Linked DNA regions of Saccharomyces cerevisiae S288C. Changing the gene in region 1 together with any one later gene gives a genetic interaction. Each region holds a gene or a part of one and is shown in the gene's direction. Other genes may lie near its edges. The genes, in order: CHM7, YRB1, GAL1 and RBG2.

Region 1 (5,465 bases):
TTGATGGCATCGAAGTCGAAGATGAAGAAAATGTTAAAGAATACCATGAGATTGAGCAGGCTATCAAAGGTTACCGTGAAGATGTTCGTCAAGTTGTCACCCATCCGGCAAACGCCTTAAGTTTCCTACAACCAGGCAGATTAGTTGAAATCTCTGTCAATGGTAAGGATAACTATGGCTGGGGTGCTGTTGTCGATTTTGCTAAAAGAATTAACAAACGCAACCCAAGTGCTGTCTATACAGACCATGAATCCTATATTGTCAATGTGGTCGTCAATACCATGTATATAGACTCTCCAGTCAACTTGTTGAAACCTTTCAACCCTACCTTACCAGAAGGGATTCGCCCAGCGGAAGAAGGTGAAAAAAGCATATGTGCTGTTATTCCCATAACTTTGGATTCAATCAAGTCGATTGGTAATTTGAGACTATATATGCCCAAAGATATTAGAGCCAGCGGTCAAAAAGAAACTGTTGGGAAGTCTTTAAGGGAGGTTAATCGGAGGTTCCCGGATGGTATTCCCGTGCTGGATCCTGTTAAAAACATGAAGATCGAAGATGAGGACTTTTTAAAGCTAATGAAGAAGATTGACGTTTTAAACACAAAGTTATCCTCCAATCCCTTAACCAATTCCATGAGACTAGAAGAACTATATGGTAAATATAGTAGAAAACACGATTTACATGAAGATATGAAACAATTGAAACGCAAAATTTCAGAATCACAAGCCGTAATCCAACTGGACGATCTTCGTCGCCGTAAAAGAGTTTTGCGCCGTTTAGGATTTTGTACTCCTAATGACATTATTGAACTGAAAGGTAGAGTTGCATGTGAAATATCTAGTGGTGATGAACTGTTACTAACAGAATTGATCTTCAATGGTAATTTCAATGAGTTGAAACCGGAACAAGCAGCAGCATTATTATCATGCTTTGCATTCCAAGAACGCTGTAAAGAAGCGCCTAGATTGAAACCAGAGCTTGCCGAACCTTTGAAGGCTATGAGAGAAATTGCAGCAAAGATCGCTAAGATAATGAAGGATTCTAAAATTGAAGTTGTAGAAAAGGACTACGTTGAAAGCTTCAGACATGAACTAATGGAAGTTGTTTACGAATGGTGTAGAGGAGCTACTTTTACGCAAATCTGTAAAATGACCGACGTTTACGAAGGTTCGTTGATCAGAATGTTCAAGAGATTAGAGGAATTGGTGAAGGAGCTGGTAGACGTCGCCAATACCATTGGTAACTCTTCACTTAAGGAGAAGATGGAAGCTGTCTTGAAATTAATTCATAGAGATATCGTATCTGCTGGTTCTTTGTATTTATAGTTAATCACACACAATTATGTATTTTTATTGGTATATATAATAAACAAATAGATTTCATCAACATTTATTATATAATAACATTTTTGTTTGGGCAAGCACACTATTGATACACCCATACAACTCAATGAAGTGCAGCGTTAGTAGAGACAATAAGAGGAGTTTTAAATTCTTAAACTATATCTGGCAAAACACCACCAAAGCCAGCCAAATAGTATCTCACTGTATCTGAATGAAAGTAGATTTACCAGAATCCAGACTACCATCTTTATATAGAGATTTTAGGCCATTGAAAGATTTAAATCCCGATGGGTACGAAGCAAACATCAGTACATGGAGGGATTTCTTCTTGCAACAATACATCAGCAACTCCAACAGAATCATATTTACTATAGGGACAAGGACTTTGCAAGAATTAACTCATGAAGTTTATGGCGTACCGAAAAGCATTGATATAGCAATTGACGTTCTTGTTAATGAAGGAAATTTGATACCTATGGAATTATTCAATCTTGGTGGAATGTACACTGACAACAGTAGAAAAGGATTTTGGAAGTGGGTTAGAAGTTGGAAGGAGTCTACAAACATGTATAAAAGCCGGAAGGATGAAACAAATTTCTACTTGAGAGAAGACAAATTTATTATCAAAGCAAATTTGGAAAAAGAGTATCAAAGGTTTCATGAATTACTCAAAAGAAGTGTTTTTATGGAGGCTTCATCTATTACAGATTTAGTATTCACAAGGAATGAATTTGTGACCACAGAAAGTTTGCAGTCGTTCTTTTCAACCTATGATGAAGAAACGAAAAACGTGTTCCTGCACTTTATAGAGAATTATAAGCACATAATAGTTTCAAAAGACAATGTTATCAAAGTCATTGCCGCTGAAGTAGAAGACATTACTAGCAGGTTCTCCAAAGGCATCACAGAAAATGACCTTCGAATTGCTAGTGTTAAAGTGGGTATTATAAACATCAACAAACAAATTACAAGGCTAAGAAAAGAAATTAATGAATCTAACATTAAACTGAGAGGACCAGAGTTTAATGAGCTGCCGAAGAGAATAAGGATTGAATATAAACAGGCGAGATTACTATCTGAAAAACATCTTTCTAGGTTACTAAAGTTTCAAAATAACCTCGCTCAAGTAAGAACTCAAATAGACACCAGTGCTACTAATGCGGTTTTAATTCAAACTTTAAGTGAATCCAACGAAGTAATTAAGTCAATTAATGGATATATTGGTTCTACCGAAAAAGTAGAAGACTTACTAGATGAGATTAAAGAGGGTCATGACCGTACCGAAGAGGTCAATGATTTATTAGCTCATTATAATAAAGGTCAAGACGAAGAAGCAGAAGAAGAAATTGAAAGAGAATTAGAACAATTAGAACTTGATGAAAAGAATAATAATAAGGAAGAAAATAAGAACCAGGATTTGCACGAGCCAAAAGAAAGCAGTAGCGAGGATCTATTAAAGAGATTGAATAATCTGAAGATAAATACAAATGAAGGACCTGTGCAAGATAATGAAAACCACGATAATGAGATAAGAAAAATCATGATGGAAGAACAACCACGTTGACGAACTGAGTGACTAATAAATAAATATATATGTATAAATAAAAAATAAATATGAATATTTTAATAGACGGAAGAAAGAAAATATGTGTGAATAACCAAATAGGAAATAAACAAAAGCACATTTAATTGTTGCCGTTATTATTAGAGTAACCTAATGTACGAACTTTGGTATTAGATGCAGAATTATTGGAAGACAAGTTTAGTTCAGACACGTTTTGTCGCAATTGAGAAGTACCATTAGAAGGATACATCCTTGGGGTAGTATATGCTGAAGGAGTCATTGAATCACCACCACCTCCTCCTCCCCCGTCCGACACCATGTCTAAGCTAGATAATTTTTGTAAAGAGTAGTTGGCGCTGTTTGACACATTTGTGCCCAACCTCTGGTAACCAAGACGGGAGGAGGAAGCATCTACTTCCGGTTCTTTCGCCCAAAAAGATGTCAAACCTGAGTAAACCTTGTGTAGAAGAGAAGATTGTTCCATGTAGTCGAATGTTTTGTTATTGGCTTCCAGCGGTTCTAAGATGAGAGTCGATCTGGGCAACAGATCCAACTCTTGCAAACTTTTGAGTTCGTCATTTCGCGTAAGAGTCACTCTTGGTATATTTCTGTGGAAAAGGTAAGGTGTTCCATCATCGTAGCAATTATAGTCTAACCACATCCTTACTTTGTGTAATTTTGTTTGAGGAGGGAAAGTATTAGAGATTGTGTAACCATTGGGCAGTTTCAATTGTAGAGTACAGTAGTTCTGGGCGAGAAACCCCTTTTGACTCTTGTAACTAACATTATCAGTAACTGTCAACTGCTTCCACTTCTGTGGCTTTCTTTGCGGGTCATTAGTATTTTGAAAAACATACTTCCTCTCCAACTTGTCGTTCTGAATCATTCTTTTGACTCTTTGATATTCTTCATTGCTCTTGGAAAATAACTTCCTCTTTGTTACTTGACCCTTAAAGACTGATTGTAACCCATTGATAAAGGTTTCCCAAGGATCCTGCTCACGAGAAAGGCTATTACCTTGGATAGAACATTCGAGTAGACCGTTCTGTAATATGTTAATGCTTGGCGCCGATGAGGAGGGGAAAATGCTCTTGAAAAGCAAGCACTCTTTAGTACCATTTACTAACCTTACCCACAGTATGTTTTCGCGCTCCTCGTCACTAAGATTTCCTGGTTTGAACCACTGATGAAGCCAAGAATTGTCCCCGGCTGCTGAACTAATGTAAACGACGATAACCTGCTCACTAGTATGAGAGTAATCATGAACAACTCGATCATGAAAGAGGCTGTCTATACCTGACATCTCGTACATTTCTGTTATTCAATACCTGTAATTCACTTCCTTTGAGGGTCAAAAATGTCCCCTGTAAGCAAGTGTATAAGTATATAATTATATATATGTGCATATATATGTCCCTATACAACTACTAACGAATCTTAAAAGTTGACTATTCATGTGGAAAAAGTCCCTCTTCTAGGGTTGACGCGCTAGAGGTAAATCCATTAAGGTTCCTCCTGGCTTCGTTAACTCCGAAAAGAATAGCATGTGCAAGATGAGTTACCGAAAGAAGCAATAAAGAAAGCACGAGTACATGTAGAACAGGGGCACAGATAATACCAGACAGATGAGCCCACTTTTAAGAGTTTCAAAACTTCCACGAATGCACAGGGAGAATAAAGTACGCGCTGGGTCCGTTACGATTCGTGCTGCAAGAGGTTTAAAATCGCTCCACAATGGTCTCGCCCCTCGGCCCTTCTCCAATTACAAGCATATTACTAATACAGTTTTCGTTTCTTTTGTAATGTTCAGATAGGAGCGAAAGACTAATTTCGATGGAAATTTTTATCTTCATTTCGATAGTATGTTCAATCAGTTGAACTATGCATCTTTGGTTATCATCATTAACAAATTGAAACGAAAAGCTATCCTGCCAAGAAGGCCGGATAGAGAGATTGAAAAAGATATATAAAGTGTCCTTGTCACACTCATACAACACCTGTTGTATGTCAGGCATACGGCAAATTGACTACAGTTTGCATTTGCACTAATGTCGTTTGCAGTGTAACTGTTGTATTGAACGTGGACAAGGACAAGAAAGATAGTTTTTATCTCTTGATGTTTTTTTATATGGAGGAGAAAGCGACGAAGTCGAAAAAAACGAAAGGAAATAAAATGCTGTCGGAAAAAAAGTTAGGGCTGGTACGGATTATAAACTATCTCAGTAGTTAGGTAATATATAAGATGGCACCAGTCTTAGTACTTGTAAGTTGCTGTTGATTCGTCCCTAGTTATGAATTTGTCTCGTAACAACTTGGCCAAGGCGTCTTTGAACTCACCAACACTAAAGCCTTTTATCTGCTGCTTTACCGTTTCAAATAAATGGTCGTAGTCTAGCCCATTCCTCTCGCTCTTAACGGATCTAGTTATGCATGCCTTTAGTAATTCTTGGGTCCATTGGGAATTACTTCCTTCGTGGTGTGCAGAACTGGTTCTTTCACCGCCTGTGTTGCTACTTTGGAGAGACGCGGTTCTCGGTAGAACCACACGTAGTTTC
Region 2 (5,129 bases), on another chromosome or scaffold:
AAGCACTACCTAGGAGCGGCCAAAATGCCGAGGCTTTCATAGCTTAAACTCTTTACAGAAAATAGGCATTATAGATCAGTTCGAGTTTTCTTATTCTTCCTTCCGGTTTTATCGTCACAGTTTTACAGTAAATAAGTATCACCTCTTAGAGTTAACCTATACTAAAATTTATGCCAGTTAACTATGAGATAAGCAAGTATCATCTCATTTCATTACCTGAAGTCGAGTAAACAGAAAATCCAATTGTTGATGAACCTCAATGACTTAGAACTATCTATCGGCAGATCATATAAAGAGGATTTAGGTACCTAGAGGACTGTACCTGGAGTATATATATATATATATATATATTATCTCAACTATAGTCCATAGAGGTTTCTTTCTTGAGGCCTTAAACTGCTAAAGAATGATATTGGTGGAATGCAAGCACCAAGCGCTCTTCTTGCGTGACTGTTCATATACTTCAAACCAAGAATGTAACTGGCATTGACCCATCCAAAACCTTCAGTAGCTGCCCCTTTAAAGTCAGCACCTTGATTACCGTATTCTGCTTCAACACGATGAGGATCTGTTCCTCTTGTGACATCATATTTTTCAACCACAATACCATTATAATCGACAAAAGCCTTTGTCATCATGAAAAGCCATCTATAAGCTAGCCTATTCGTTACAGTTAAATAACCATAAGAACGGAGGCCTTCCCAAGCAAGAATTTGATGGGGTGCCCAACCAAATGGATAGTCCCATTGTCTAATTGGTCTCGAAATAGAAATTGGGCCTCGAGAACGCTCCGTACATGCAGCTAAACCTCCAAGCATCTCTAACTTGGGTAGTGCTTTCTCCACCATTTTCTGTGCTTGCTCCTTCGTGGCAAGTCCAGCCCATAATGCCCAGAATGTAGTTGCGGATTCGTATGACGTTCTGTGCTTGATTTTTGTGTTGTAGTCAAAGAAAAACCCCGACTCGTCATCCCACATATATTTGGTAATCTTTTCTTGTCTGATTTTGGCCATTTCTTTCCACATAGCTGAAGTTGTTATAGAATGGTCTAAAGGATCTTCATATTTGTCGTCGCAGAATTCCTTTATGAAGTCTGCAATATCAATCTCGTATTTGTAAAGAAGAGAATTCAGGTCAATAGTGGCCAGGTAGGCACATACGCCCTCAAACCTATATGTAGTGTCGTGTCCAGATTCTCTAACGCCACGGTCATGAAGAAAAAACTCATCCAATTTAGGCTCCTTTATCTTACCATCGTTATAAAGTTGCTTAAATTCGTCTAAGGTAACGCCGTGTTTCGATGCATATGGTAGTAAAACGGTATCGAAGTGATCACTTTCAGTTTCCGGAGGAATACCGAGACCGTTAGGATGGTACCTGGATAAGCCTGTTTCGGGATCAAGCCTTGGAGATGCGGTCCAAACAGTTTTGTACTCTTTTATGCTTGCTTGGAAAGCTCTTTTCAACAAATCCACAGCATCGGGATTACTCCTACCACCAAGTTTTTTGAATACTACCAAGGCCATTTCAGTCAAGAATGGGGGCTGTGATCTACATAGATAGTAGCTTCTGTTAGCATTCAATATTTTTCCATAGTGATTAATCTCAAAAATAAAATGCTCCACCATACCTCTTGCAACATCAGTCTTGTTGGCTTCTAGGAGACCTAGTGCCATCATATAGGAGTCCCAACCATATAATTCATTGAATCTACCACCAGGAACAGCATAAGGGTAACCAATGAGAGTTTTTTCACCAGTAGAAGGATTGAAGTGCTCTTCCATAGCCAATGCTAGTAAACCGGGGGTATCATTGACGGATTTGACGTATTCTGCCGTTATTTTTTTTGGTAAATATTCAACTTCTAATTTCAAAGATGGATGCATTTGAGAAGCTTGAACATAAAATTCGTATTGTTCTGGACAATCATAAGGAACATAGATTCTTGGATTTTTTGCCCCCGGCGTATCAATCTTGGTATCTTTTGCAATTTCGCCTACGTTGTTCAGATCAACTCTCCTGGTCAAAGAGTTCCAGAACTGTGTGTTTATCAATCTTGATAATCTGTTGACGGGATTTTCGTTTATACGAGCTTCATCTAAGAAAATTTGGTGTCTACCAAAACTTTTCGCAATAGTTAGTTCCTGCAACAAATTGGATAACATATACGTACCCCTAATATTAATATGCTTATAGCCATAGGAGTTTGCGGTACCGACTTTCAAAACTTTTGGACCGGTATCCTCGATGGTGATCTGATAATTTTTATCGGTATCCTCAGCAGCCAGTAGTTCATTAAGTGTTTTATCGACATCTTCGATAAAGAAACGACGATTACCTTGACTACTTGAATAGGTGTCATCCTCAGAACCACGTCTAGTCTGTTGAAGTTTACCAAAACCAGTTTTCTTGAAAGGAGATACATTATCGAAAACACTCATAGTCCTCGTACGGTTGATCTTAGCGGGCTTTGCCTGCTTCTGCTTTCTTGGGTCTGTTGGGGGGCCATAGTAGACTTCTGCGTTCGAAAATGGATCATTGAATTCACTTAGTGATGATAATCTTCTTTGACGGCCTTGGGCTACCGGTCCTTGGCTTGTATTAACTTGACTCATTCTACTGATTTTTTTTGTTAATTTTTCTTTTTTTGTTTATCAGGCGTTCTTGTATCTAGTAATCTCCTTATATCTATGCAGTTGGTTGTGAAATCAGTCAATATAAAACTATCTTCTTGATATTATATTTACTCTACGGAAAACGATAGGGGGAAAATTTCTAGCTAATGTTTTGCGATCTTTTCAGGCCAACAAATCTTGTACCTCGCTCCTGAAAAATCCCGTAAATCGGTGATCGCGCAAGTTTCATATTGATAACCTTGTGAACCAGTCTATATATAGCCTTATATAAGTACTGCTCTATCAAACTTAAGATTGGTGGCCTTCTTCGGTAACTAGGGGATAAGGGGCTTCGTCCTACACGATGCTCCTGTCGTTTCTTTTTTTCATTTCTTTTTTCGCCCAGCGGGAAGTACGCGGAAAACAAGAAACAAAAAAAAAATAAAAAAATAAAAAATAAAACAGAAACTAAAATCTGATGATGAAATTGATATTCAATTGGAGAAAGAAGAAAGATCTTGTTTAATTTGAAATAAAAGCAAGAAGATAAACACAACTATAGAAAAAGAATGTCTAGCGAAGATAAGAAACCTGTCGTCGACAAGAAGGAAGAGGCTGCTCCAAAGCCACCATCCTCTGCTGTCTTCTCCATGTTTGGTGGTAAGAAGGCCGAAAAGCCAGAAACCAAGAAAGACGAAGAAGATACCAAGGAGGAAACCAAGAAGGAAGGTGATGATGCTCCAGAATCACCAGATATCCATTTTGAACCAGTGGTTCACCTGGAAAAGGTAGATGTTAAGACAATGGAAGAAGACGAAGAAGTTCTTTACAAGGTCAGAGCCAAGCTTTTCAGATTCGATGCCGATGCCAAGGAATGGAAAGAAAGAGGTACTGGTGACTGTAAGTTCTTGAAGAACAAAAAGACTAACAAGGTTAGAATATTGATGAGAAGAGACAAGACCTTAAAGATTTGTGCTAACCACATCATTGCTCCAGAATACACTTTGAAGCCTAACGTTGGTTCTGATAGATCTTGGGTGTATGCTTGTACAGCAGATATTGCAGAAGGTGAAGCAGAAGCCTTCACTTTTGCTATCAGATTTGGCAGTAAGGAAAATGCTGATAAATTTAAAGAAGAATTTGAAAAAGCTCAAGAAATCAACAAAAAGGCTTAGTTTCGATGTGCTTGTTACTTGCGTCTAGATTTTTTTGTTCCTAATGTAATTTTCCTTTACAGCGTGCATATATATTTTTATCTACTGTGAGGAAAAGTTGCTCTTTAATTATATAAAAAACGCTTATGTAGCATTGTGAAATCACATATGAATAGATATGTAAGAAGGATTAGAGGGTTCAAGTAATTGTTGCAGTAGTCAATGTAGCCAAATGTCTAACCACTTTGGTGCATGGAGATTAGCTCAATAATCTCGTAGTATGTTTCCGGGTAATATTCTCTGTCTTATTTACCATCTTTATGTTTCCGCCCTTTTATTTTTGTTTTTCTCGCTACTCCTTTATAATTACTAATGAGAATCGAATACTATAGAAATTTTTGACGTAATAAAGGAGCAGTAAATTTGGAATACATTCCTTAGCTCGCTAGAAAGCTGAAGGAAATTTAGCTAAACAGAGAGTATAGTTTTGAAATGATTTTACGGGAGCAGATCGACTTCCTAATACATAAAAGACAGGATGATAATAATAACAATGGTGAAGCGATTACAGATGATGATCCATTTAGCTCTTCCTCATGGAGATGGGGAAGATGGATTTTTTTTATTTTTTTCATAGTTGCACTCCTTATACTTCTGTTTTCAACTGCAAAAGTGAATAGGAGAAGAAGAATTATGGGTCAAGCTCCGATTAGGGGAACCGCTTGGTTAACCCCGCCTACCTACAGGCAGTCCGAGAGAGATTACAATGGCACACAGCGTTGCGTTGAAGACTATGTTCCTGAATATACAGAGACAGCAAATGAGAATGATTTGGGGTTTTACGACGAACGAGGAGAGTTTCATCCTAATGGCAAAACGGAATATTTAGCGCCACCGCCTTTATCAGAAGAACAAGCTAGCTCGACTGATAAAGACTTACAGCGCCCAGTGGCTGCCGTCGTACGAATTCCTAGTGAAAGTGAATTCGACTTCAATCTGCTAAGACCCACTATGAATAATTTCGTTAATGGTCAGAGTAATCGCAACGAGCAGCATTCTCCGACTGTTGAATCTTCTTCCTTTGATGTTAATAACGCGCCGGCAAGAGCGAAAGTGAGTAAGTGATTTTTCGTTTAATGAATTTATTATCGCATGACTTGCGGTATAGAAAATAGTTATAAGAGTGCTGAAAAAAAAAAGAAGTACAGAAGTTTTCGTTTCTTTGAAAGTCGCGATTATTCCGAGTTGTGTATTATAGTAGGAACATACTATTGATTTAGGTTTGAGAGCTGGTAGTATCGACGTCCAGAACAGTCAATTCATCGGAACGCTTTCGACTCGGTCCACGGAAAAGCCATTC
Region 3 (6,142 bases), on another chromosome or scaffold:
CTATGTGTTGCAATTAAGAACTAAAAGATATAGAGTGCATATTTTCAAGAAGGATAGTAAGCTGGCAAATCAGGAAAATCTGTAGACAATCTTGGACCCGTAAGTTTCACCGTTTTTCAAGGTTACACAATCTTTCCAGTTCTCTTGATTGATAGCATCAATGTATCTACCAGGCTCAATTGCAAAACCTTGTCTTGCTTCGTAACCAGCAGACAAGAAATCACCGGTATAAAATTGATAAGTTGGCTCTGTACTTAAAACTTCTAATGTAATATTGGAATCGGGATGAAAAGCCTTGACAATAAGCGTCAATTCATTGTTTAGAGTATTGATTTGACTTGGCTTAGCATTTTCATCCACCACAAAACAACAATCAAACTGGGGATTTTTGGGGCCTAAGACCGTTGGCTTTGTAGAGTTAAAGGTAGCAATTTCTCTATCGACGATATTACCCGTAGGAATCATGTTTTTGTCGACATCAACAGATTTTTTTGAACGCACCATAATCTCCGTACCCTCAATAGTGTCTCCATATGGCTTGTTCAGATTGAAATAACTATGATTTGTTAAATTTATTGGCGTCGCTTCACCAGCAGTCAATTTACCTTTATATACCATTTCCAAACTTTTTTGGGCAACGTTCACAGTATACTGTATGGTTACCAATAGATCACCTGGAAATTCGGTGTCCTTCTCATTATCTATCAGCATGTACTCGGCGGTAAAAACATCCTTTGAAGGATTTTGAATGATGGGTCCCAAAAATCTTTTTCTGTGGAAAGAACCGATACTACTATGATTCGCATTAACGCCGTTATTAACGGTTAACTGATAGTCTTTGTTGCATAAACTAAACTTACCCTTCGAAATACGATTAGCATACCTGCCGATCGTGGCGCCTATATAAGCACTATCAGGATTCAAATACCCTTCCTCATTTTCATAGCCAAGAACAACTGATTGTCCGTTCACTTTCAGGTCAACAATGCTGGCGCCCAAATTGGCAAACGTGGCTTGAAATCTGGTGCCGGCACCAATAGTCACAAATCTTGCGTCATAACGCATATCTTCAGCGGAAAATCTGGCCTCGACACCCCTTAACTGGTAACCAAAAGGATTCTCAGTAGTCCATTTCCATAAATCCTTGCAGGAGTCTTCAACCTGCAACTCGGTCTGCCATTTCAGTTCGCGTTTGGCCCTATCTGGTTTAGCCGTCAAGTTCAAAACATCACCTGCTCTTCTGCCCGTAACTTTGTATGGAAGATCAATACCAGAAGCTTTGCAGAATGCATGATAAACTTCAAAAACTGTAGAACCTTTACCGGAACCCAAGTTCCACTCACGACACAAACCTTCATTTTCATTGTAGGCCTCTAGGTATTGCAGGGCTGCAATATGACCTTTTGCTAGATCAACTACGTGGATATAATCCCTGATCGGGGTACCATCTCTGGAATCATAATCGTCTCCGAAGATGTAAAGCTTCTCGCGCCTACCAACAGCTACTTGAGCCATATATGGCAACAAATTGTTTGGTATACCTAGCGGATCTTCTCCGATTAATCCAGAGGGATGTGCGCCAATTGGGTTAAAATAACGCAAGATAGCAAACTTCCAACTTTTTTTGTCGCTATTGTAAAGATCATTCAAGATATTCTCAATGGCGTATTTCGTATGACCATACGGATTAGTAGGCCCTAAGGGACATTCTTCTGGGATAGGAATCATATTTGGGAATCTCGTAGCATCACCATAGACAGTAGCAGAAGATGAAAAAACAAATTTGGAAACGTTGTATTGTTGCATTAACTCTAATAAAACGACAGTTCCCAAAATGTTATTGTGATAGTATCTCAGCGGGATTTGTGTAGATTCACCTACAGCCTTTAAACCAGCAAAGTGAATTACCGAATCAATTTTATATTCTTTGAAAACCTTTTCCAGACCTTTTCGGTCACACAAATCAACCTCATAGAAGGGAATGTGATGCTTGGTCAAGACCTCTAACCTGGCTACAGAATCATAAGTTGAATTCGACAGGTTATCAGCAACAACACAGTCATATCCATTCTCAATTAGCTCTACCACAGTGTGTGAACCAATGTATCCAGCACCACCTGTAACCAAAACAATTTTAGAAGTACTTTCACTTTGTAACTGAGCTGTCATTTATATTGAATTTTCAAAAATTCTTACTTTTTTTTTGGATGGACGCAAAGAAGTTTAATAATCATATTACATGGCATTACCACCATATACATATCCATATCTAATCTTACTTATATGTTGTGGAAATGTAAAGAGCCCCATTATCTTAGCCTAAAAAAACCTTCTCTTTGGAACTTTCAGTAATACGCTTAACTGCTCATTGCTATATTGAAGTACGGATTAGAAGCCGCCGAGCGGGCGACAGCCCTCCGACGGAAGACTCTCCTCCGTGCGTCCTCGTCTTCACCGGTCGCGTTCCTGAAACGCAGATGTGCCTCGCGCCGCACTGCTCCGAACAATAAAGATTCTACAATACTAGCTTTTATGGTTATGAAGAGGAAAAATTGGCAGTAACCTGGCCCCACAAACCTTCAAATTAACGAATCAAATTAACAACCATAGGATGATAATGCGATTAGTTTTTTAGCCTTATTTCTGGGGTAATTAATCAGCGAAGCGATGATTTTTGATCTATTAACAGATATATAAATGGAAAAGCTGCATAACCACTTTAACTAATACTTTCAACATTTTCAGTTTGTATTACTTCTTATTCAAATGTCATAAAAGTATCAACAAAAAATTGTTAATATACCTCTATACTTTAACGTCAAGGAGAAAAAACTATAATGACTAAATCTCATTCAGAAGAAGTGATTGTACCTGAGTTCAATTCTAGCGCAAAGGAATTACCAAGACCATTGGCCGAAAAGTGCCCGAGCATAATTAAGAAATTTATAAGCGCTTATGATGCTAAACCGGATTTTGTTGCTAGATCGCCTGGTAGAGTCAATCTAATTGGTGAACATATTGATTATTGTGACTTCTCGGTTTTACCTTTAGCTATTGATTTTGATATGCTTTGCGCCGTCAAAGTTTTGAACGAGAAAAATCCATCCATTACCTTAATAAATGCTGATCCCAAATTTGCTCAAAGGAAGTTCGATTTGCCGTTGGACGGTTCTTATGTCACAATTGATCCTTCTGTGTCGGACTGGTCTAATTACTTTAAATGTGGTCTCCATGTTGCTCACTCTTTTCTAAAGAAACTTGCACCGGAAAGGTTTGCCAGTGCTCCTCTGGCCGGGCTGCAAGTCTTCTGTGAGGGTGATGTACCAACTGGCAGTGGATTGTCTTCTTCGGCCGCATTCATTTGTGCCGTTGCTTTAGCTGTTGTTAAAGCGAATATGGGCCCTGGTTATCATATGTCCAAGCAAAATTTAATGCGTATTACGGTCGTTGCAGAACATTATGTTGGTGTTAACAATGGCGGTATGGATCAGGCTGCCTCTGTTTGCGGTGAGGAAGATCATGCTCTATACGTTGAGTTCAAACCGCAGTTGAAGGCTACTCCGTTTAAATTTCCGCAATTAAAAAACCATGAAATTAGCTTTGTTATTGCGAACACCCTTGTTGTATCTAACAAGTTTGAAACCGCCCCAACCAACTATAATTTAAGAGTGGTAGAAGTCACTACAGCTGCAAATGTTTTAGCTGCCACGTACGGTGTTGTTTTACTTTCTGGAAAAGAAGGATCGAGCACGAATAAAGGTAATCTAAGAGATTTCATGAACGTTTATTATGCCAGATATCACAACATTTCCACACCCTGGAACGGCGATATTGAATCCGGCATCGAACGGTTAACAAAGATGCTAGTACTAGTTGAAGAGTCTCTCGCCAATAAGAAACAGGGCTTTAGTGTTGACGATGTCGCACAATCCTTGAATTGTTCTCGCGAAGAATTCACAAGAGACTACTTAACAACATCTCCAGTGAGATTTCAAGTCTTAAAGCTATATCAGAGGGCTAAGCATGTGTATTCTGAATCTTTAAGAGTCTTGAAGGCTGTGAAATTAATGACTACAGCGAGCTTTACTGCCGACGAAGACTTTTTCAAGCAATTTGGTGCCTTGATGAACGAGTCTCAAGCTTCTTGCGATAAACTTTACGAATGTTCTTGTCCAGAGATTGACAAAATTTGTTCCATTGCTTTGTCAAATGGATCATATGGTTCCCGTTTGACCGGAGCTGGCTGGGGTGGTTGTACTGTTCACTTGGTTCCAGGGGGCCCAAATGGCAACATAGAAAAGGTAAAAGAAGCCCTTGCCAATGAGTTCTACAAGGTCAAGTACCCTAAGATCACTGATGCTGAGCTAGAAAATGCTATCATCGTCTCTAAACCAGCATTGGGCAGCTGTCTATATGAATTATAAGTATACTTCTTTTTTTTACTTTGTTCAGAACAACTTCTCATTTTTTTCTACTCATAACTTTAGCATCACAAAATACGCAATAATAACGAGTAGTAACACTTTTATAGTTCATACATGCTTCAACTACTTAATAAATGATTGTATGATAATGTTTTCAATGTAAGAGATTTCGATTATCCACAAACTTTAAAACACAGGGACAAAATTCTTGATATGCTTTCAACCGCTGCGTTTTGGATACCTATTCTTGACATGATATGACTACCATTTTGTTATTGTACGTGGGGCAGTTGACGTCTTATCATATGTCAAAGTCATTTGCGAAGTTCTTGGCAAGTTGCCAACTGACGAGATGCAGTAAAAAGAGATTGCCGTCTTGAAACTTTTTGTCCTTTTTTTTTTCCGGGGACTCTACGAGAACCCTTTGTCCTACTGATTAATTTTGTACTGAATTTGGACAATTCAGATTTTAGTAGACAAGCGCGAGGAGGAAAAGAAATGACAGAAAAATTCCGATGGACAAGAAGATAGGAAAAAAAAAAAGCTTTCACCGATTTCCTAGACCGGAAAAAAGTCGTATGACATCAGAATGAAAAATTTTCAAGTTAGACAAGGACAAAATCAGGACAAATTGTAAAGATATAATAAACTATTTGATTCAGCGCCAATTTGCCCTTTTCCATTTTCCATTAAATCTCTGTTCTCTCTTACTTATATGATGATTAGGTATCATCTGTATAAAACTCCTTTCTTAATTTCACTCTAAAGCATACCCCATAGAGAAGATCTTTCGGTTCGAAGACATTCCTACGCATAATAAGAATAGGAGGGAATAATGCCAGACAATCTATCATTACATTTAAGCGGCTCTTCAAAAAGATTGAACTCTCGCCAACTTATGGAATCTTCCAATGAGACCTTTGCGCCAAATAATGTGGATTTGGAAAAAGAGTATAAGTCATCTCAGAGTAATATAACTACCGAAGTTTATGAGGCATCGAGCTTTGAAGAAAAAGTAAGCTCAGAAAAACCTCAATACAGCTCATTCTGGAAGAAAATCTATTATGAATATGTGGTCGTTGACAAATCAATCTTGGGTGTTTCTATTCTGGATTCATTTATGTACAACCAGGACTTGAAGCCCGTCGAAAAAGAAAGGCGGGTTTGGTCCTGGTACAATTATTGTTACTTCTGGCTTGCTGAATGTTTCAATATCAACACTTGGCAAATTGCAGCTACAGGTCTACAACTGGGTCTAAATTGGTGGCAGTGTTGGATAACAATTTGGATTGGGTACGGTTTCGTTGGTGCTTTTGTTGTTTTGGCCTCTAGAGTTGGATCTGCTTATCATTTGTCATTCCCTATATCATCTAGAGCATCATTCGGTATTTTCTTCTCTTTATGGCCCGTTATTAACAGAGTCGTCATGGCCATCGTTTGGTATAGTGTCCAAGCTTATATTGCGGCAACTCCCGTATCATTAATGCTGAAATCTATCTTTGGAAAAGATTTACAAGACAAAATCCCAGATCACTTTGGATCACCGAATGCTACTACTTACGAGTTCATGTGTTTTTTTATCTTTTGGGCTGCCAGTCTTCCATTTTTACTGGTTCCACCTCACAAAATTAGACACCTGTTTACTGTTAAAGCCGTCTTGGTTCCGTTTGCTTCTTTTGGTTTCTTAATTTGGGCTATCAGAAGAGCTCACGGGCGTA
Region 4 (5,245 bases), on another chromosome or scaffold:
TTGTCTAATTGAACAAACTCTGGGTATAGCTTATCGACGAACTTTTTTGGCTGATCGAAGCCATTGCTTTCACTAGCACACTGGATTTTCAATCCATGTTCATCAGTACCTGTGGTAAAGAAGGATAGATTACCTTTAAATAATTGCCATCGATGGTAAACGTCACTTAATAAGCTGGAGTAAAGATGGCCGAGGTGCGGTTTGGCATTGGGATAGAAAATTGGCGTCGTTACGTGGGAGACCTTAGAGTACAGACGATGCACAATTGATCGACATTGCATGTTTTCTTTCGATCAAAACCTATGCTTTCCTTATTTACCTCTGGAGAATAGTAACATTAAAATTTACATTCTTTTTTCACAGTTGTGCGGATTTATTTGTTTGAAACCACCATTGGACTACGTTTTAGTTTTTAAAGAAAGAGAAGGCACTTCGTAATCCAATGTTGCCTAGTACTGGTATTGCTTGCACTATACAAGGAAGTAAGTGTGATTATGTAATGCTGTATACACTCTTTATTCAAACATAGTTCAGAAAAACATATATACAAATATCGCCCCTAAGCCAATTCCCTTCAGACAAAAATTACCATGAGGGCAAAAACACTGTAGAAAATCAACAGTGGGTAGGCAATTAGCAATCTTGCATTTTGCAATTGGAGCAAAGAATTTAAAAATCCAGACGAGGTCCAAGTACTCCAAATTACAAATAGTACTGATACAACATAACCTGTAGTGTTGTTCAAACCATGGAAAATGCCCAGTAAAGAAAGGAAACACAGAGGCAAAAAGCAGTATCCTAAGATGGACGCTGTATTGAAAAATTGTAGGTTCGTTTGAGTGGAAGTATCGTTATTGCTCATTAATTTCGATAGATTGTGCAAAGAAATGGTACCAAACAAAGCGACACCATAGATATATCCAAAATGAACCTTTCCAGCCATCAATAGAAAAAGTCCGAATAACAAAAAGAATATCAAAGGCCCAGCCAAATCTGAATCGTTTAGAATTTCTTGTGGCACACCACTACCAAAACGTATTGGTATAAGAACCATTTTAGTTTTCGTTATGATATGATCGAAATTTATTCCAATTTCCTCCAGTAATGGAGGTTCATGTGGATATCCCTTAGTTGAAAGAGCATGTAAAATACCTACAGGCAAAGGGTCGGGGGCAACACCCAAATTGTTATCGTTGCCAGTATTAGAAGAACCGACGGTATTTTGAAAACTCATTGACCCTTGGGGAACGGCAAATTGTGCAGAAGGCTGATAAAAGCCACCGCCATTATTAGCATTGTTACTAGTATTGTAGAAAGACATCTCGAGAGGGACTAATAGTTGTCTTGCAGTACTTCCCGTCCAATTTGTAGCTGTTATAAGATGACTTGGTTCGTGTCACGTAGTTACCTCACTCAAATAGCAAAATAATCAATGGTTACCCGAAGTGAAAATTTTCGTGATAATAGCGATGAGATTTAAACCCAGTTATAAAAGTCGTACAATATTGAAGCTGTTGATATTGGAATTGAACAAGTACTAACGAGATACGCATTATCAAAACTAACGTAACAAGCACTACAAAATGGGTATTATCGACAAAATCAAAGCCATCGAAGAAGAAATGGCCAGAACCCAAAAAAATAAGGCCACAGAACATCATCTGGGTCTTTTGAAGGGGAAATTGGCTAGATACAGACAACAACTGCTAGCTGATGAAGCTGGTAGTGGTGGTGGAGGAGGGTCTGGTTTTGAAGTGGCAAAATCAGGTGACGCTAGAGTAGTTTTAATAGGTTACCCCTCCGTCGGTAAGTCCTCCTTATTGGGTAAAATTACCACCACCAAGTCTGAGATCGCTCATTATGCTTTCACGACATTGACATCCGTTCCTGGTGTATTGAAGTACCAAGGTGCAGAAATCCAAATTGTGGATCTTCCAGGTATTATTTATGGTGCTTCGCAGGGTAAAGGTCGTGGTAGGCAAGTTGTTGCAACAGCAAGGACCGCAGATCTAGTATTAATGGTTTTAGATGCCACAAAGAGTGAACATCAAAGAGCATCTTTGGAGAAGGAGCTGGAAAATGTAGGCATCAGGCTTAATAAAGAGAAACCAAATATTTACTATAAGAAAAAAGAAACTGGTGGCGTGAAAGTTACGTTTACCTCCCCTCCAAAGACCAATTTAACCGAACAGGCAATCAAAATGATCTTGAGAGATTATCGTATCCATAATGCAGAAGTTCTGGTAAGAGATGACCAATGTACGATTGATGATTTTATCGATGTTATTAACGAACAACATAGAAATTATGTCAAATGTCTTTATGTGTATAATAAGATAGATGCAGTATCATTAGAAGAGGTGGATAAACTTGCCAGAGAGCCAAACACCGTTGTTATGTCCTGTGAAATGGATTTGGGATTACAAGACGTCGTTGAAGAAATTTGGTACCAGCTGAACTTGAGTCGTGTGTATACAAAGAAGAGAGGTGTTAGACCAGTATTTGATGATCCTCTAGTGGTAAGAAATAATTCCACTATTGGTGACTTATGTCATGGTATCCACAGGGATTTCAAAGATAAGTTCAAATACGCATTGGTTTGGGGTTCTTCTGCCAAACATTCTCCTCAGAAGTGCGGCTTAAACCACAGGATTGATGATGAAGATGTAGTTTCTTTATTCGCGAAATAGTATAAATGAATAGATTTTAAAGAAACATGAAAAAACAAGATCAGCATCGAGAACTGTAGTACGGAGCAGAGATTTTGCATGACTAAACGGACTCATTTTCCTTGTAGTAGAAATAAATGCTGAAAATAGGTTTTTTAGTGAGAACCGGAAGGTGTTACTTTCATGGTATATTCGTATATACTTTTATAATGTAATTTGAAGAGCTCCGTTCATAAAAATTGTCATTCTGGGCTTCAAATGAATAAATAAACCCGAATGACAATGAAATCTCGAAATTATAATAGTGGTACCTAGTGTAGTAAGTATAAAGGAACCTTCTCTGTTGTATCTCAGAATGGGATACCTCAGTATGACAATACATCATCCTAAACGTTCATAAAACACATATGAAACAACCTTACAGCAAAACGAACAGAATGAGCAACATGAAAATAAAACTCTGCCTTCCTTAGCTAACCTACTCTAACGTATAAGTATCTGAACAATTGGTTTAGATCCAAGATTCCGCGCTTCCACCATTTAGTATGATCCATATTTTATATAATATATAGGATAAGTAAGATCCCGTGAATCAAGCTGATAAACCGTTTTGACAACTGGTTACTTCCCTAAGACTGTTTATATTAGGATTGTCAAGAACCTTGACATTACCCCATTGCATGATGCAATAATCTCATATAAATAACAAGCGCAAGTGGTTTAGTGGTAAAATCCAACGTTGCCATCGTTGGGCCCCCGGTTCGATTCCGGGCTTGCGCAATGTTTTTTCCATCCCCAAGTATGGGAACTAAAATAGCTAAAAATAAGTATGAAGTTATATTTTTAAACCTATTTACAGTGTACAAATAAATAATATATCATAAATGACACAGACGTATGTTTTAGGATGCAAAAGTTCAAGCTGCCCTTCCTAATTGAGTGACCCGACCCATCTACCAGAAGCGCCACCAGCTTTTAACCTGCTTATCCTGGACTATTTCCTTTGTTTTCTCCTCCGTTTCAGATCTTAGCTGAGACAGTTCATTTCTGATCCTAGCCAACTCTTCTTTTTGCACCTCCTCCGCCCTCACCTTAGCAAAGTGATCTCTGCTTTGAACGTTATCACCGTTCCTTTCCCAAGGTGATTGAAGGGGGCCCGTCTTCCAAATTGGATCGTCACTTTGAGAAGTTTCCTTAACAATTTTCATCAAAGCCTGCTGCTCCGACTGACGTAGTTTTTTCTCCCTCTCATATTGTAAACGTAATTCTGGGGAAAGCTGGCTGATTAACTGTTGATCTGTTGGCGTTGTGTACTTGAAAAGCAGAAACCCGCTTCCAATAATAGCGCCACCAATTGCATAGACTTTCAACCAACGTACCCACAATGGTCTTTCCATACCCAAATAATGCTTATACTGTCTTTGTTTTGCTATTACTGCCTCTCTAGGAGTTATCGCGCACTGCATGTATATAAAATTTTATCTTGATAAAATACCCCGGGGGATGAGCAAAAAAAGGGATATGGGGAATGAAAAGTGAGATAAACTAGCAATAATCTATTCTAATAAGTAGAACATTCACAAAGACTACTATGGTGTAATTCTGAAAGGATTTACGAGAGCACAAATACTATTATGTATAATTCTGACTGCAGAATCCGGCAAGCTTGATTTAATATCACTTAAGGAAGTAATATCGTTAATTGATAACCGAATATGAATCTCAATGCATATTTTGAAGCATATCAAGCCATTTTTCCTTTTCTGTTGGAGGCATTTTTAAGGAAAGAACAAAAAGTATAAAACACTTCGGTTAATAATAAATGATATGTGAATTTTTTTGAAAATATGTAAAATAAATAAGTAATAAATAAAAATAAGATGTGTTTATCGTAATGTACTATACAAGCCTTCCAAGCCGACTTCTGTAATAAAAAAAAAAGGTGCAGCTTAATGTTTGACGGTTCCTATCCTCTCTCCCTTATAAGCTGTAGTTAACCAATCAACTCACCAAACAAAAATGGGGTGAATACTCTAATAGCTGTGATCAAAATCATAATACCTTCCAATAAAGCCATTGGTAATCCCAAGAAACCACGTTCTTCCATGTTCAAGTAAATGGTGTAAAAAGCGACAGCGAAGAAAACCCTGGTCAATTGCAAAGGCTTTGGCAAGACACCAGACAGAAATTCAACGGGTTTGTTGACACAATCGCCACCTCTTTGGAAATATTTGAAACAACCTTTTTGTAATGCCTTCAAGTTATCGCTGTCAGCAGCGAACAAAGAATACAAAGCCACTGACAAAACGTTAATAACGGAATCGTAACTCTTTCTTTCGAAATGGTAGTCTAGTAATTCATCCAAAACCTTTTCACGGTCGCTGAAGTCTAGGTCACCTATTTTCTTAATCAACAAGACAACATCATGCAAACCGACAGTCATACCACCACCAGTCAATGGATGTCTCATATTTAGAGCGTCACCGATAACACACATACCAGTGACGTCGTTTTGTCTAGCTGGCAAGTAGGAGTTTGGCATAGCTCTAAATTTACCTTGGCTGACGGCTTCATCA

Evidence for each region.
Region 2: mutations in CHM7 (region 1) and YRB1 together harm fitness more than expected from each alone (negative genetic interaction), as found in Saccharomyces cerevisiae (one large-scale study listed by BioGRID).
Region 3: mutations in CHM7 (region 1) and GAL1 together harm fitness more than expected from each alone (negative genetic interaction), as found in Saccharomyces cerevisiae (one large-scale study listed by BioGRID).
Region 4: mutations in CHM7 (region 1) and RBG2 together harm fitness more than expected from each alone (negative genetic interaction), as found in Saccharomyces cerevisiae (one large-scale study listed by BioGRID).

The regions. Positions count from the first base shown.
Region 1 is NC_001142.9:344,416-349,880, forward strand, and holds CHM7 (phosphatidic acid-binding protein CHM7), read left to right. Parts: upstream 1-1,557; coding exon 1,558-2,910; downstream 2,911-5,465. Other genes in the region: ATP-dependent RNA helicase MTR4, read left to right, coding at 1-1,328; UBX6 (Ubx6p), read right to left, coding at 3,032-4,222; YJL047C-A (uncharacterized protein), read right to left, coding at 4,629-4,763; cullin RTT101, read right to left, coding at 5,165-5,465.
Region 2 is NC_001136.10:449,861-454,989, forward strand, and holds YRB1 (Ran GTPase-binding protein YRB1), read left to right. Parts: upstream 1-3,184; coding exon 3,185-3,790; downstream 3,791-5,129. Other genes in the region: alpha,alpha-trehalase NTH1, read right to left, coding at 360-2,615; RCR2 (Rcr2p), read left to right, coding at 4,262-4,894; YDR003W-A (uncharacterized protein), read left to right, coding at 4,922-5,044. UniProt on the Saccharomyces cerevisiae protein: Important for the export of protein containing nuclear export signal (NES) out of the nucleus. Stimulates the GTPase activity of GSP1 and GSP2.
Region 3 is NC_001134.8:276,184-282,325, forward strand, and holds GAL1 (galactokinase), read left to right. Parts: upstream 1-2,837; coding exon 2,838-4,424; downstream 4,425-6,142. Other genes in the region: GAL10 (bifunctional UDP-glucose 4-epimerase/aldose 1-epimerase), read right to left, coding at 70-2,169; FUR4 (uracil permease), read left to right, coding at 5,260-6,142. UniProt on the Saccharomyces cerevisiae protein: Galactokinase is a key enzyme in the galactose metabolism where it catalyzes the conversion of alpha-D-galactose to galactose 1-phosphate.
Region 4 is NC_001139.9:842,271-847,515, forward strand, and holds RBG2 (Rbg2p), read left to right. Parts: upstream 1-1,583; coding exon 1,584-2,690; downstream 2,691-5,245. Other genes in the region: methionine--tRNA ligase MSM1, read right to left, coding at 1-281; transporter YIP1, read right to left, coding at 575-1,321; CBP4 (Cbp4p), read right to left, coding at 3,623-4,135; YGR174W-A (uncharacterized protein), read left to right, coding at 4,385-4,471; ERG1 (squalene monooxygenase), read right to left, coding at 4,663-5,245.